4 linked regions of the Macaca fascicularis genome follow. The protein of the gene in region 2 purifies or fractionates together with the protein of the main gene of each other region. This does not show direct contact. Links are inferred from orthologs where the notes say so. Each region holds a gene or a part of one and is shown on either strand. Other genes may lie near its edges. The genes, in order: CBX3, ADNP, CBX1 and ZNF644.

Region 1 (3,856 bases), on a different chromosome or scaffold from region 2:
GCCCAGTACTCAAGTATCTTGACTAATGAGAATCATAAGACCTGACTTGGAAATGGTATCCGAGAAAGTCAGGTGTTTGCTGCATTTTTTTGTATTCCAGGGGAGTGTGTGTGTGTGTGTGTGTGTGTGTGTGTGTGTGTGTGTGTTACCTATATGCTTGCTTGCATAGCTTGAAATGTCATTTTGCAGTCTTGAGGCCTTTCTTACATGTGTGTCTGCGCACTTCATATGCCTGCATAGCTTGAAATGTCCTTTTGTAGCCTTGAGGTGTTGCTGTTAACTTTTTTCTGCTTGCTGCTTTACTTGTGGGATGGCTTTAGTGACTGGGCAATTAAGGTTTATCTTTTTTTGATAGTATTTGGGTTTTTTGGTTTTGTGGGGGGGTTTTTTTGAGACAGTTTTTCTCTTGTCCAGGCTAGAGTGCAATGGCGTGATCTTGGCTCATCGCAACCTCGGCCTCCCGGGTTCAAGCGATTCTCCTGCCTCAGCCTCCCAAGTAGCTGGGATTACAGGCATGCATCACCATGCCTGGCTACTTTTTTATTTTTAGTAGAGACAGCGTTTCTCCATGTTGGTCAGGCTGGTCTCAAACTCCTGACATCAGGTGATCTGCCCACCTCAGCCTCCCAAAGTGCTGGCATTACAGGCATGAGCCACCACGCCTGGCAGTAGCATTTGTTTTAAGATGAAATGTTAAGGTGGATTTCTTCTCTGCCCATAGGATCTTCTGATTAACCATTTCGGGGTTTTTCCCCCGCATTTTTAATCTCATAAAAATTTTCCCCATTTTTAATCCTCTCATAGCAAATCTTGAGCTATTGAAGAGAGCTGATTGAGGTTGGTTTCCTGCTTCTCTTAAATAGTGTCATACAAAAAAATGCCTGTTTAAAGTGAAGTTGGCTACCAATATAGACTTTGTCTTGAGAAACCAGGAAGGAAGGATTTTTTTCACCTTAGAGAATTAAAATCTCCCCTTTTGTCCTCTTGAAGTGACAGCTTTATAGGTTCTAAGTGGTAGGAAATATTATCTACAGAGATGGAAAAATAATCTTGTCCTTTAACCTCCTAGTGGTCTCCATAGTTGACCTTGCAGTTGGTATCAGGATTGTGAACCACGTGTTCATTCTGCGCTTACCTTTTATTTGTATTATTGAAGCTTTTGACATTAGTATTTGAATTGAGAAGGAGGCTCTTAGGTCTGTCGTTGGTTCACCTAAGACCTGTCACTACTATTTTCTTCTCTGTATCACCCTGTAAGTACTTCCTGCATAGTTGCTGTGTTGTTAAAATGAGTGAAAACTCTAGTAAACTTGGTCTTTTAAGACTACAGGGCCGGGCGCAGTGGCTTACGCCTGTAATCCCAGCACTTTGGGAGGCAAAATCACTTGAAGTCAGGAGTTTGAGACCAGCCTGGTCAACATGGTGAAACCCCGTTTCTAATAAAAATACAAAAAAAATTAGCCCGGCATGGTGGCATGTGCCTGTAATCCCAGCTACTTGGGAGGCTGAGGCTTGATAATTGCTTGAACCTAGGGAGGCAGAGGTTGCAGTGAGCCGAGATCACGCCATTGCACTCCAGCCTGGGCAACAGAGTGAGAGACCCTGTCTCAAAAAAAAAAAGACTGGAAAAAAAGTAATTTTTCCAGATAGTGTTTTTGATTGTATTATTTTGGTGGTGGGTCATAAGTTTGAGCTAAATCAACAAAATAAAGCATTCTTTTATTTTATTGTCTGTTGACTTTTAATCTTTCCCTGTCTGCCCTGGGATGTGGAAGTAAAAAGTAAAAATTTATGTTGAATGTAATAATAATGTAAGCAATTGAGCCTTGAAAATGTACCCAAAATTCAAGAAGAATATTTCTTAATTTCTCATTTGTTTTATTTTAGCAAAAAATGGGGAAAAAACAGAATGGAAAGAGTAAAAAAGTTGAAGAGGCAGAGCCTGAAGAATTTGTGGTGGAAAAAGTACTAGATCGACGTGTAGTGAATGGGAAAGTGGAGTATTTCCTGAAGTGGAAGGGATTTACAGAGTAAGAAACTTTAGTGCATCTGTATTGTATGTTTGACTGCAGCTAAGTGGTTTTAGAATTTGTTTTTAACCTGACTCTTTTACCTGCTTTCCCATAGATGTCTTTAAATGTAAAGACACCTTGAATTTAGGTATCTTATTTGAAGTCTATTTAAAAAGAACCAAAACTTTATTGTACAGTTGAAGCTGAGCAGACTAGAGACTAGTTTATTACCCTGGGGAGTCAAATTTGTAAAATTATAGAGTGTAGTTTACTATATAATGTATTTTAATGTGGTTAGATATTATACTGATTATAACAATCTGCATTGTTTTCCTCCACACAGAGGGTACTAAAAAACATTGAAGCTATATAGTATAGACTAGTGGGTCTCATACAGGATTACCTATAATCTAGGCTTTATACTAAGTTTATTATGTCCTAATACCTAAGAAGTAGAGCCTGGGCTTGTTTTAAGCTCTCTGGTTCCTTGTGTTCTTTGATACGGATTCTTGATAATTTTCACAAAATGTGAATAACTTGAACATGCAGCAATTACATACTTTAACACTTGGTGTTTGTTGTGCTTATCTGCTTTGATTCTTCCCTGTTACACCACAAAGCTCCATAGGCAGTGACAATTAAAAATGGATAGGTGGAGATCAATTTCCTGAGCTTGCTGGAGATAGAGCATATGGTAGTCAAATGATTGGGCTTCACATATCTGTTATCTCGTGCTTTCCCTGCTCTTCACATTTAATTCATAGCAGTTTGGGAAATATGAGTTGAATGGGAGATTTACGTTTTCCTGTTTTATCCTCCAGTGTTTTTAGTTGAAATTAAGTATGTATCATAAGTCCATACTTTATTAAGCCCATGAAACATGAAAAATTATTTTTACCCAGCAAAACTTTAGGAAATGAATGGGCTCCTCCCTTTTTCTTCTCCCAAAACTTAAGGCCACTAGCAAAATTATACTGCATTTGGCCATGTGCAGTGTAATAAGTAATGTAAAAGACTCTTTTCTTTTTTTTTTTAGACGGAGTCTCGCCCTGTTGCCCAGGCTGGAGTGCAGTGGCGTGATCTCAGCTCACTGCAACCTCTGTCTCCCGAGTTCAAGCAATTTTCCTGCCTCAGCCTCCCGAGTAGCTGGGACTACAGGCATTTGCCACTATGCCCAGCTAATTTTTGTATTTTAGCAGAGACAGGGTTTCACCATGTTGGCCAGGCTGATCCCAAACTCCTGACCTCAAGGGATCCACCTGCTTTGACCTCCCAAAGTTCTGGGATTACAGGTGTGAGCCACCACACCCAGCCAAGAAGACTTTAATGAAAATAATATTACAGAGCAGAGACTTTTATTGTTCTCTACCCAGTAATTTGGATTTACTAATTTAGAGTCTCAAATTAGAATGTAGGGCCTGGGTGCAGTGGCTCACACCTGCAATTCCAGCACTTTGAGGGTCCAAGGCTGGAGGATCACTTGAAACCAGGAATTCAAGACCAGCCTGGCCAACAAAATGAGACCCTTTCTCTATTTAAAAAAAAAAAAAAAAAGAAGTGTGTGTTTTAAGTTAGCTGGGCATGGTGTTGCATACCTGCAGTCCCAGCTACTTGGGCTAAGGCAGAGGATTGCCTGAGCCGGGAGTTGGAATCTTCAGTGAGCTATGATTCCACCACTGTACTCCCGTCTGGGCAACAAAGCAAGACCCTGTCTTTGGCAGAGGCAGGCGGGGAGGTGGGGTAATGTAGGGAAGGAGGAAATTATTAGTATCTGCAGTACAGAGGATTTTTTATTCCCCCAGGTGTCTATTAAAATGGATCTGGATAATGGTGATGAATCGTGT
Region 2 (4,425 bases):
TTGCTTATATTTCTGAATTGTGTGCTTGTTTTATCTACTGAGAAAGTATTTAAAGCAAAAAAAAAACAAAAACAAAAATATTTGCAAATGCTTTTGAAGGTGCCAATGTATATGACTGTTATTTCAGCTCCAAATGGAGAAAATCTTAGAGAAATGACCTCCATGAGCAAACGCATGGAGGGCACACACTTATCTGGAGAAAGGGACATTATGGAATTTCCAAGGTTATTAGGAATGTCAGAAATAGGCATATGAAGAGCATTATAATCTTTACACTGAAAAGATGTAGAATGTTCTGAGTTAACGTGAACATAGATTCCTGGCCAGGCATGGTGGTGCACACCTGTAATCCCAGCACTTTGGGAGGCCAAAGCCAGCAGATCGCTTGAGCTCAGGAGTTCAGGACAAGCTTGGGCAACGTGGCAAAACCCCATCTCTACCAAAAAACAAAAACAAAAATATAGCCAGGCGTGGTAGTGTGCACCTGTAGTCCCAGCTGCCTGGTGGGGCTGAGGTGGGAAGATGACTTGTGCCCAGGAGGTTGAGGCTGCAATGAGCTGTGATTGCACCACTACACTCCAGCCTGGATGAAAAGTGGAACTCTGGCCAGGCGCAGTGGCTCACACCTGTAATCTCAGCACTTTGGGAGGCTGAGGCAGGTGGATCACCTGAGGTCAGGAATTTGAGACCAGACTGGGCAACATGGTGAAACCCCGTCTGTACTAAAAATACAAAAATTAGTGTGATGTGGTGACACGCACCTGTAATCCCAGCTACTCAGGAGGCTGAGGAGGAGAATTGCTTGAACCCGGGGGGCAGAAGTTGCAGTGAGCTGAGATTGTGCATTGTACTCCAGTCTGGGCAACAGGCAAAACTCTGTCTCAAAAAAGGCCGGGCGTGGTGGCTCACACCTGCAATCCTAGCACTTTGGGAGGCTGAGTTGGACATATCACGAGGTCAGGAGATCGAGACCATCCTGGCTAACACAGTGAAACCTTGTCTCTACTAAAAATACAAAAAATTAGCCAGGCATGGTGGTGGGCGCCTGCAGTCCCAGCAACTGGGGAGGCTGAGGCAGGAGAATGGCATGAACCCGGGAGGCAGAGGTTGCAGTGAGCCGAGATCCCGCCACGGCACTCCAGCCTGTGCGACAGAGCGAGACTCCGTCTCAAAAAAAAAAAAAAAAAATACAGATTCCTCTTAGTTACTAAGCCTACAGCAAAATAACATTTTTTTGGTACAGCATTTCCCAGTAAGCAGTGTCACTGCTTTATTTATAAACCTTTTAAATTCAAAATAGATAAGTAAACCCAACACCAACTCTGTGGCTGAAATACCGCTTTTTATAAATTACAAGTTTCTTACAACTAAGTTCCCTTATGGGCATACTCACTTTTTCAGAAAAAAATACCTACCAGGCAGTGAGATGCTTCATCTTAATGTCTTAAACCAACTTTTTAAGCTGTGGGTAGGCACTTAGGAGAATGGGTTTTTCTTTCCCCCAAGCTACCGCTTGATTCTTCTTAATGTTTTCTGTAGACTAATGACCCCAGTGGTGGCTACATTTCCAAATCTTTCTGTCTTTGTTTTTCTAAGATTGTTGAGCCACTGATCCAGGAGGCAGGGAAACCATTAATGTCTGGCTTCTGGACACATCTCTTATGAAGTGTGAAGCAGAGTTGACTCAGGAAGTTCCCAAAGAACTGAATTTTGGCCCAAAGAGAGTTTATGAAATGAATAGAGAAACAAGACGTCTCCTCCCAGTCTTAGGTATCTGTGGGCATCCATTTTAATGCCTGGTTTCTTCAGAATTAGCCTGTGACACTTTTCTGTATTTCTGAAATATTTTTCTAGCATGTGCTTCTCTCTAAAAGACCTGATTTGTAGTAACTGTGTTTGTTTTTTGTTTGTTTTTGAGACGAAATCTCACTCTGTCACCAGGCTGGAGTGCAGTGGTGTGATCTTGGCTCACTGCAACCTCCGTCTCCCAGGTTCAAGCGATTCTCCTGCCTCAGCCTCCTGGGACTACAGGCAGGTGCCACTATGCCTAGCTAATTTTTTGTATTTTTAGTAGAGATGGGGTTTCACCATGTTGGCCAGGCTGTTCTTGATCTCTTGACCCCTTGTAATCTGCTCGCCTCAGCCTCCCAAAGTGTTGGGATTACAGGTGTGGGCCACCGCGCCCAGCGTGTAGTAATCGTTTTAAAGGAAGCAAGTGATAAAGAATTTGCTGATTTTAAGCCACCACAAAAAAGATGGTTTAAAATAATTTAGCAATACAATTTAGACGAAAAATAATTGATTTGGTCTTAATTTATATCAGAAGTGACTTCTAAGTCTGTAGTTGGCTTCACAATAGTCAGATTATTAGCAGAGCAGAGAGGGCAGGGGACATCACAGTCATTGCTTCATAGTGAGCAGCAATTCTATCTTGAGTATGATAAGGCTGAGAAGGTTTTTTCAAAATACTTTTCATTTTTGGCCCCAGTTATTCTTTGGTACTTTATATAGAATATTTTGAGACTTCTAAGTTAGAGTAACATACCCAGTTTGAAAATTTCTAGGGGTTACTGTTTGATTTTGGTAGATTTCACGCTCTCCTTTTATTTCCCATTTTTTGTAGTTAACGTTGATTTTGGATTAGAGTAATAAATGAGGCAACATTTTATTACATTTGGATTAGTTGACTTGCCATTTACAGATGATATTAGTATTACAGAGTAACAGCCTTTATTAATTAGAAAACTGGATTTGCATATATTAAATTTTAATTCCTGGTGCTTTGCCTTTTGTTTTTGCTATTTTGGGTTTTAGAACTTGACATCCTGTGAAATTGTGTTACATTTGGATTATTGATAAATTTTTACCATATTATGGAAAGCATTTATGATCTCATTAGAAACCATACATATTCTCAGTTGCCCAAGTTTTACTGATTTTATTTTCTCATTAAAGACAAACTTTTGTTTTAAGGAACTTGGGAAAGTTGGTCTATCTAATTTAATGTATGAGGTCATTAAAATAATTTTTCAGTTCCCTCACATACATACAGGCTTTTCATTTTTTCAAAAGGATCCTCCTTAAAGTCTGTAACAGTTAACATTTGTGAGTGCCTTTGCCCAGGTATGTTGCCCAGGTATGTTGCCCAGGTATGTTGCAGGAGTGGGGGCATGTGTTGGTCGAGTCATATATCATTACTGTCTTTAGTTTGGGAAGTATACAGAAACTTAAGGTTTTTAGTTTTTGTTTGTTTGGTTTTTTTTAAGAATACCATAGCAGTAGGCAGGACAGTTCCAATTCAACAAAAACCTCTTTACCCTGGCACTCAAAACTGTATAATGATGATGAACTGGTAAACATTTTTCTGTTTTCAGATGTTCAACATCAAAAGGAGAAAAGAACACTTGATTTAAAAATAATTGATTGCTATTGTTTCTCTAATTTTCAACTTGAAGTTCATTGCTGAACTGTTTTTTTAAAGTCTTATCAGAATTACGCCAGATTAGACTCATAGTCAAAATGTCCTATTAAAAACTGGGAAGATCAGAGAGTACTTATTTTGCCTGCCTGCTTTAAGTATTCAAAGTATAGTAGATACGTGCCTGGCTCAGTGGCTCACACCTGTAATCCCAGCACTTTGGGATGCCAAGGCGGGAGGATGGCTTGAGTCCAGGAGTTTGTGACCAGCCTGGGCAACATAGTGAGACCTAGTCTCTACAAAAAAATAATTTTTTTAATTAGTTGGGCGTAGTGGCGCACTCCTGGAGTCCCATCCTCTTGGGAAGCTTAGGCGAGAGGATCACTTGAGCCCAGAAGGTTGAGACTGTGGTGAACCGTGAGTGCACTGCAGTCATGAACCATGAGTGCACTGCACTGCACTCCAGCCTGCGTGACAGAGCAAGACTCTGTCTTAAAAAAAGGATGGATGGATGGATCATGGATGGATGGATGGATAAGTCGAGCCATATGCACATGCAAGCGTGTGTGTCTGTGTGTGTACACACTAGATGAGGATACCTGTGCACCTTTTTTGTCAGATGGGTAGGGTTTATGATCCTGTCATCAGTGGAATTAGTGAATATTACAAGTTGTACGTGTTTTGACTTTGACTTAAATTTTTTTTTCCAATAGAAACTATGTTCCAACTTCCTGTCAACAATCTTGGCAGTTTAAGAAAAGCCCGGAAAACTGTGAAAAAAATACTTAGTGACATTGGGTTGGAATACTGTAAAGAACATATAGAAGTAAGTAGCATGTCATTTTTAAATTTTAACATGACTCAGCTTCTGATCCATTACTTTGTGTCAGTGGCCATGATGGCTAAATCTTAGATGTGATTCTGAATTTCAGCCACAGCAGTAGCTCACGAAAGCATTCTCAACAGCGTAACTTGTGCCTTTCTCCCTAAAATGGGCTTTTTCATTT
Region 3 (4,365 bases), on a different chromosome or scaffold from region 2:
GCATAATTCTGTACCAGTATTTTTAAAATGGCTTCAGACTCCCTATTGCACTTAACCTTTTTTTTTTTTTTTTTTTGAGATGGAGTCTCGCAGTGTCTCCCAGACTGGAGTGCAGTGGCGTGATCTCGGCTCACTGCAAGCTCCACCTCCTGGGTTCACACTATTCTCCTGCCTCTCCTGCCTCAGCCTCCCGAGTAGCTGGGACTACAGGGGCCCGCCACCACGCCCGGCTAATTTTTTGTATTTTTAGTAGAGACAGGGTTTCACCGTGTTAGCCAGGATGGTCTCGATCTCCTGACCTTGTGATCCACCCGCCTCGGCCTCCCAAAGTGCTGGGATTATAGGTGTGAGCCACCACGCCTGGCCTGCACTTAACCTTTTTTTTTTTTTGAGACGGAGTCTCGCTTGGTAGCCCAGGCTGGAGTGAGTGGCCGGATCTCAGCTCACTGCAAGCTCCGCCTCCCGGGTTCCCGCCATTCTCCTGCCTCAGCCTCCCAAGTAGCTGGGACTACAGGCGCCCGCCACCTCGCCCGGCTAGTTTTTTGTATTTTTAGTAGAGACTAATACAAAAATACAAAAATTTTGTATTTTTAAAAATTTTGTAAAAATACAAAAATTTTGTATTTTTAGTAGAGACGGGGTTTCACCGTGTTAGCCAGGATGGTCTCGATCTCCTGACCTCGTGATCCGCCCGTCTCGGCCTCCCAAAGTGCTGGGATTACAGGCGTGAGCCACTGCGCCCGGCCCACTTAACCTTTAAGAAATGACTCCATCTCCAAGGTGGTGTGTACTTAAAAAATAAATAAATAAATAAATAAACACTTCCAGTCTCGGCAACATAGGGAGCCTCTATCTGTATAAAAATTAAAAAAATTAACCGAGTATGGTGGCACACACCTGTGGTCCCAGCAGCTCCAACGGCTGAGGTGGGAGGATGACTTGAGCCCTGGAGGTTGAGCCTGCAGTAAGCTGTGATCCTGCCACTGCACTCCAGTCTGGGCAACAGAGCAGGAACCTGTCTCAAAAAAACAAAGAAGGCCGGGCGCGGTGGCTCAAGCCTGTAATCCCAGCACTTTGGGAGGCCGAGGCGGGTGGATCACGAGGTCAGGAGATCGAGACCATCCTGGCTAACATGGTGAAACCCCGTCTCTACTAAAAATACAAAAAACTAGCCGGGCGTGGTGGCGGGCGCCTGTAGTCCCAGCTACTCGGAGGCTGAGGCAGGAGAATGGCGTGAACCTGGGAGGCGGAGCTTGCAGTGAGCCGAGATCGCGCCACTGCACTCCAGCCTGGGTGACACAGCGCGAGACTCCGTCTCAAAAAAAAAAAAAAAAAAAAAAAACAAAGAAAAGTTACCATTTGTTGAATTTGGGTAGTATCAAAGAAGAATATTCAAAATTGTTTGAGAAGGCTAAATATACTCTTCCTTTTCTCAACTACATATCTATTTAAGGCTGAATTTTCTTAATGTACCAAAACAACAGAGCACAACAGAGAAAGGGGAAGCACATATGAGAATCCAGCTATCTTCCTTAATTTTTTTTTTTTTTTTTTTTTTTTTTTTTTGAGACGGAGTCTTGCTCTGTCGCCCAGGCTGGAGTGCAGTGGCCGGATCTCGGCTCACTGCAAGCTCCGCCTCCCGGGTTCACGCCATTCTCCTGCCTCAGCCTCCCGAGTAGCTGGGACTACAGGCGCCCGCCACCTCGCCCGGCTAGTTTTTTGTATTTTTTAGTAGAGACGGGGTTTCACCGTGTTAGCCAGGATGGTCTTGATCTCCTGACCTCGTGATCCGCCCGTCTCGGCCTCCCAAAGTGCTGGGATTACAGGCTTGAGCCACCGCGCCCGGCCCAATTTTTTTTTATTTTTATTTTTTTACAATGGAGTCTCCCAGGCTGGAGTGTAATGGCGCAATCTTGGCTCACTGCAACCTCCAACTCCTGGGTTCAAGCAATCCCCCTGCGTCAGTCTCCTGAATAGCTGGGATTACAGGTGCCCATGACTATGCCCAGCTAATTTTTGTAGTTTTAGTAGAGACAGGGTTTCACCGTGTTGGCCAGGCTGGTCTCGAACTCTTGACCTCAGGTAATCCACCCGCCTCCAGCTCCCAAAGCGGTGGGATTACAGGCGTGAGACACCGTGCTCGGCCCCTTTCTTTTCTTCCTTTTAGCTGTTTTTCTTTTTTTCAGACAGGGTCTTGCTCTGCAGAGATCAGGGCTCCCTGCAGCCTCGAACCCCTGGTTCAAGCCTTCCTCCTGCCTCAGCCTCCCTAGTAGCTGGGACTACAGGCACATGCCACCACGCCTGGCTAATTTTTAAATTTTTTTTTGCAGAGACGAGAGTCTCCCTAAATTGGTAGGGCGTGTCTCAAGACTAGCCTCAAACGATCCTCCCGCCTCGGCCTCTCTAATAAGTGTTGGGATTACAGGCGTGAGCCACCGCGCTAGACTTGCTGAAATTATCTTTAAATAAGTTGTTAAAAGACCATCGCAAAAGTCTTCAACACATTGAACGGTTTTCTCTTGCTCCCTAGCTGCATGATGCTGCTTCGAGTTTGTTTTGGTGTGAGCCATCTGAGTCGCCGGACCCTCTCGAGTCTGGCTTTCACTCTGACAATCGGTCAGTGGCTTTACGAATCGGAATCGGAGTCCCCTCGATAGCTCCGCTGGGGAACAACAAACTACGAGGTTCCAATGGTGACTCTCGAGACTTAGTGAGGATCCAGGGATGTGGGCTTCCTAAAGCCCCGAACCTCCCACACTGCAGACGGTACCTCGCATTAAGGGAACAAGAGTAACAACCCCCTCACACCCCTCTGCTCTCGTGACCCACTGGCTGACCGTTGCGGACGCCCCCTGGCCGCTGATTGGCTTCCCCTGACAGTGGGCGGAACGCGGCCCCGGATTGGATATCCGAGCCCATTCGCCGTCCCTCACCCCGCACCTGCGTCCACTCTCTAGCGTCCCAAGTGAGTGGAGGGGGGATCCCGACTCCAGTCCCGGGCCTTGGCAAGCGGAACTGCGCCGTTCGGAAGCGGGAATCCCACTCAGAGCCCGGGCCTGTAAAGGCGGGGCGTCCTGGGCAGCCGGGGTTAGGGCGTCTCCCGTCGTGCACTGGGGCACCGGCGACTCACCCGGAAGGAGAAGCCGTGATCTGGCTATATGGTGGGGCGCGGGCGGTGTCGCTGTGGGGAGCTGGTGCTGTTCTCAGGTGAGAGTGCGTGGGCGGGGCCCCGGGGAGTAGGGGCTGCGCTCAGGTGAGGGGGCGTGGGCTTGAGCGTCAGTAGTGGCACTCGGGATGGTGGCATCGCTTTACATCCTAGGGAGGGACTCTCTTACCACCCGGCATTAAGGCAAGGGCTTGCTGGGGATCCAAAAACCGACTTTTCAGTTTACCTTCAAAGTATATCTTTCACTTCCTACTCCCCAGGCTTAATCGGAAAGGAAGAAGGATCATGTGGACCTTTCGGTCCTAGTTTGTTGCGAATGGAGGAGGAGTGATCGTAGTAAAAGACTGGGGACATTTACTTAAACGGCTAAGACTGGGGGCAATGGCGAGTATTTTACGTGGACACGGGAGACTTGCGGTAGATTGTGGTCGCCGTTGTTAATTACCTTCCAAGTGAAAGGAGTAGGTTAGAGATGGACAAAAAGATGGAGCATAACTGCTTGGTTGAGATCATACAAAGCTTGGTCAGAACTGGGAGCTTCCTCTATCTAGTACGTGTGATATTTATAATTGGAGGGAGAGCTTTTTGAATTGCTATCTGCCATCTGGCACTAAGGGCTCAAGATTGAGTAAGAAGGGACGGTAGTCTCAGTAGTTCCATCTACTTTAATCACCTGATTTTTTTCTTAACCTGTCTCTTGAAGTTGTTTAAATGGGAGAGAAAATAAATGGTGAGACTAAAGCCTTGTATTGTTACTATATTAGAAGCTTTACGATGAATCTACTTTGTAAACAGCAAACAATTGGGTACTCACCAGCGCTACTGGTGCTGGTACAGGTGAAGAAAGTGAAGGAAACTTCAGATGTGGTTGAAAGGGCCCAGGAAATGTAGTTAACACCGAGTTATGTAATTAGCCATGGTCACTGACTCTAGCCTTATTTGGATGACGTACAGATCCATCTCCCAGATTATAGAACTAAAGTTAGGAACTTTCTGCTTCTTCTCCAGAGGCAGAACTGAGCTTTTTCTTTTGAGGAGTGGTATCTGTGGGGAGGAATCTAATGAAGAATAGTGGTTGCTAGAAATTACTACTTGGTGTCTAGGTTTTTGTATTTGTTCCAGTGTTTGTTTGTTTGTTTTTGAGATAGGGTCTCGCTCTGTTGCCCAGGCTGGAGTGCAGTGGTGTGATCTTGGCTCAC
Region 4 (3,856 bases), on a different chromosome or scaffold from region 2:
GTAGCCAAACTTTATTCAGTATTGCCAAGTCTGGTTTATACTTTTAGACTAGAAAAATTTTAAGTGTCTTTTCTAGATTTCTTTTTGAAGGTTAATAATGTTGAAGGTTTATGTAAATGGTCTCATGATTAGAGCTGTAAGTTGAATGTGTCGGAGGTAATAGTTAATGGATTAATAACAAGTAACGTTACTGTAAAGTAATGTTGTTTATTTGCTTTGGGGCAAACATTGTGATATCCCAAATAGTTGTAATGCAATTTTGATTTAAGGAAAGATGACTTTGTGTTGTAAGTGGTCTGGAAAACAATTTATCTTGTATGAGCTTCTGTTTAATATGGCTTTTTCTTTCTAATAAAGAGTCTCTGAAAGTCAATAGCTTTCAATATTTTTTCAGAAGGATAAGATGTGTTAGCTGTGTTGAACAAGGGGTAGTATACTTCAGAGATGGAAAATGTATTTGTGGCTATCACAGTAATGCTGAAGAAACCGATTGAAATGTGTTGGGGGAGTGAGGATTGTCTGAGAAGTTAGGAGTTTCTTATTGTTTGAACATGTTTTTTCTGTGATGACTAAGATGTTAGCTTGTTGATCATTTATTTAGCACAAAGATTTTAGCAAAAAACTTTAAATCATTGACTTTCATTATTGATTGCGCATTCAGAGTAATGAACATAAAATACCCTGAATAAAATGTTGTGTCTAACAGCTGTTCAGTGGTGTGTTTTACCACCTTTTCTCCCAGCCTTCATCAGAAAGCCTAATTTAGTACTGAGACTTTTACGGTTTTGTGGGTAAAACACTTTAATTACCACTTTGTCAACTAGACTTTTAAATTCTTTTTATTGGTAATGTTGTAAGCTTTGAAACTTCTCAACAGAACCGTGGTGTTCAAATCACAGGATTGTATATTAGTAGGTTTAAGAAATAATCTGCGTAACACAGAAATCTGCAAGAAAGTGATAATAGGTGTTATATCCAGAGGAGCTCAAAGGTTCAAGTCACTCCTCTTCTACCTTTCCAAAGAGCATGAGTTGGCTCTAAACACTAACTACAAACTAATAATAGTTAACTTAATTTCCCCTCCTTATTTTAAGTTAACCTATTTCATTGAACGTTTTGAAAACCATCTTTATTGTGGTGCTTTTCTACACTCTTTAAGCTAAGAAAATTTCACTTTTTGAAGTGAGAACTGGATTATAGTTTTCTTTTGAATGATAGGTATGCCTGTGAAGCTTAGAACATGTGTGCATTGCAATACGACGTTTACAAGTGCTGTTAGCCTGTCCAACCACTTACGCGCTTATGCACGAAAGAAGAGTGCTGGACTTTTGACTGGTACAGGTATGTTTGAACAGATATCACAGCAAGTCTGTTTGATACAATACACTTTTTTTTTTTCCCACCAGACTGGTGTTAATTCAGATCATATTTATAGCTTTCTTTAGTAAGCTGCAGTTGAGTCTGAATACACATTAAATTTCAGCAGCTTGTAAACTGTTAGATATAATTCTAAGCTAGTTAATCTTTTTCTTTTGGCTCTTATTGACTTAATTTGGGGAAAAAACATTAACCCAAGAGGTGTGGAACTTTTGAGTCTACCTTAATCCCATTTCTTTTTTAGAATACTATTTTTGATTTTTAAATTTATTTTAGATTCCAGTAAAACACCTCTCTTTATAGTTCTAGTCAGGCACAGTGGTGTGCCCCTATAGTCCCAGCTACTCATGAGGCTGGCAGGAGGATCACTTGAGCTCAAGAGTTAGAGGCTATAATGTGCAATGATTGTGCCTGTGAATAGTCACTGCACTCCAGCCTGGGCAACATAGCATAAAAATATTGTAGTTCTAGCTTGGGGAAATCCTTTTAGCAAAGGAAATTATAGGGATATTTCAAAATGTAGACTTGGTTAGTAAACTAAGCAAACTAATGAATTTTCATTAGTCTATAGATTAGATCTTTGAAGGGGTGAGCCTTAATAATGGCTTGTGTTGACAAGTGAATAGATTTTTCTTTTAATACTTCTTAAATATATTAAGGATTAATAAACTTAGCTATGCACATAAGTGTTAACATGCACATTTCTGTGTTATTTTTGGTTGGTTAGCCTAACCTTGCAGATACCTCTTAATACTGCTCATCTGTGAAAATTTGATTAGCTTACTTCTATGTAATATGCTTCTTATAACCTACAAGATGCTTTGCACTTTTCATTTGTAGTCTTTTAAGCTACCCTGCTTCAGCAAATCTCATTTCCTTCACATCTTAAAATATACCCTCTTTTTGACATAGATCTACATAAATTCTTTTGCCTAAAATTCTTTCCAATCTTTTTATTTCTCTTGCTCTTTTTTAGATCACTGCCTCCTGCTTTCTTCTAGTTGTTTGCCCAGCTTTTTTGTTCTTCCTTGTGTCCTATAACTTACATCCAATATGTTCTTGCTTTCAAAAAGCCACTTATATTTATACTAGTGTCTTCTGCTTCTTTGCATTCTTCCTTAACTTGATATACAAATGACCAGGGATGAATGTTGACGGTTTATATTAAAAAGAGAGGAGCGGGGTGAGTTTTAGTCTACTGGATTAGGCCTCCTACTCTGAGATTATAATTTTTATATACCTTTATCACCTTTATCAGGCTTGGCAAGTGATTGCAGACATTAGAGGTGGGGGACAATGAAAATAAGAGACTGTACAAGTGGGAAATCATTAGTTACCATACTTGCTAACCTTTATTGAACATTTACTATGTGTCAGGCACTATGCCATGCAATTTACATGTATAACATTTAATCTTCACAACAACCATACAAGTTGTAGGTACTGGAATTCTCTTCCATTTTATAGGAAACTAGGACTTAGAGAACTTAATTTGCTCAAACTTATACAGTTAATAAGTAGCAAGGTTGTAATTCAGATCAGGGCTATCTTACCTAATCTTTGTTTTTAATCACTGTTTTCTACCTTATACAGGCGGCCTATTTTTGAATTTCTTATTTTTAAAATAAGAAATTGAAATAAAAATAAGCAATTGAAAATTCTAAAACGAAGGTGGGTGGGTTTGTTTGTTTGTTTGTTTATTTATTTATTTAGAGATGGAGTCTCGCTCTGTCACCCAGGCTGGAGTGCAGTGGCGCGATCTTGGCTCACTGCAACCTCCACCTCCCTGGTTCAAGCAATGCCCCTGCCTCAGCCTCCCTAGTAGCTGGGATTACAGGTTCATGCCATCATGCCCAGCTAATTTTTTTGTATTTTTAGTAGAGATGGGGTTTCACCATGTTGGACAGGCTGGTCTCGAACTCCTGACCTCAGGCAGTCTGCCGGCCTCAGCCTCCCAAAGTGCTGGGATTACAGGCGTGAGACACCGCACCCGGCCTGAAGGTGGATTTAAAATGGGGAGTACTCTGGTGAAGATTGAATACATAAGAGTCTAATTAAAAAGAGCAGAGATCCAAGAAGTGCTTAGGCCTAGATTAGACTTTGGAGGACTTAGTGTTCCATTCTGATTATTCAAGCAGATTATGCAGATATCCAATAAGGCAAGATATCTCCAGTCCAGATTTTATTAGTCCACTAAAAAAATGCTTTTACTTCATCTGAAAATTCTGCAAAACACAGGATTAATTACCTATAAATAACTGGTAGTAAATTTCCATTTACCAAGAATGCATTTATGAAGATTATCTAAAAAAAATCTTCATTGTCAGAGAGAAAAGTAATGTAGGATGACTGAGAATATATTTAGGTCCTCAAGAATAAAAGAGGGTGTTATTTTAAAAATATGATTAAGTACTAGCCAAAATATTAGAAGTACTAGGAAATAGAAAGCGTGTGTTTGGCAGTCCTAGGCAAAGAAAAG

What was found.
Region 1: the proteins of ADNP (region 2) and CBX3 purify together in Homo sapiens (affinity purification with mass spectrometry; 7 studies listed by BioGRID and IntAct, with this or other methods). This does not show direct contact. The link is inferred for Macaca fascicularis from reciprocal best matches to the Homo sapiens genes ADNP and CBX3.
Region 3: the proteins of ADNP (region 2) and CBX1 purify together in Homo sapiens (affinity purification with mass spectrometry; 6 studies listed by BioGRID and IntAct, with this or other methods). This does not show direct contact. The link is inferred for Macaca fascicularis from reciprocal best matches to the Homo sapiens genes ADNP and CBX1.
Region 4: the proteins of ADNP (region 2) and ZNF644 purify together in Homo sapiens (affinity purification with mass spectrometry; 3 studies listed by BioGRID and IntAct, with this or other methods). This does not show direct contact. The link is inferred for Macaca fascicularis from reciprocal best matches to the Homo sapiens genes ADNP and ZNF644.

The regions. Positions count from the first base shown.
Region 1 is NC_088377.1:104,098,892-104,102,747, reverse strand, and holds part of CBX3 (chromobox protein homolog 3), read left to right. Parts: intron 1-1,887; coding exon 1,888-2,030; intron 2,031-3,856.
Region 2 is NC_088384.1:107,005,758-107,010,182, reverse strand, and holds the start of ADNP (activity-dependent neuroprotector homeobox protein), read left to right. Parts: upstream 1-1,488; 5' UTR 1,489-1,661; coding exon 1,662-1,770; intron 1,771-1,918; exon of another isoform or gene 1,919-2,031; intron 2,032-4,131; coding exon 4,132-4,244; intron 4,245-4,425.
Region 3 is NC_088390.1:58,617,584-58,621,948, reverse strand, and holds the start of CBX1 (chromobox protein homolog 1), read right to left. Parts: upstream 3,113-4,365; 5' UTR 2,941-3,112; exon of another isoform or gene 2,899-2,940; intron 1,016-2,898; 5' UTR 898-1,015; intron 1-897. UniProt on the Homo sapiens protein: Component of heterochromatin. Recognizes and binds histone H3 tails methylated at 'Lys-9', leading to epigenetic repression. Interaction with lamin B receptor (LBR) can contribute to the association of the heterochromatin with the inner nuclear membrane.
Region 4 is NC_088375.1:143,770,274-143,774,129, forward strand, and holds part of ZNF644 (zinc finger protein 644), read left to right. Parts: intron 1-1,218; coding exon 1,219-1,341; intron 1,342-3,856.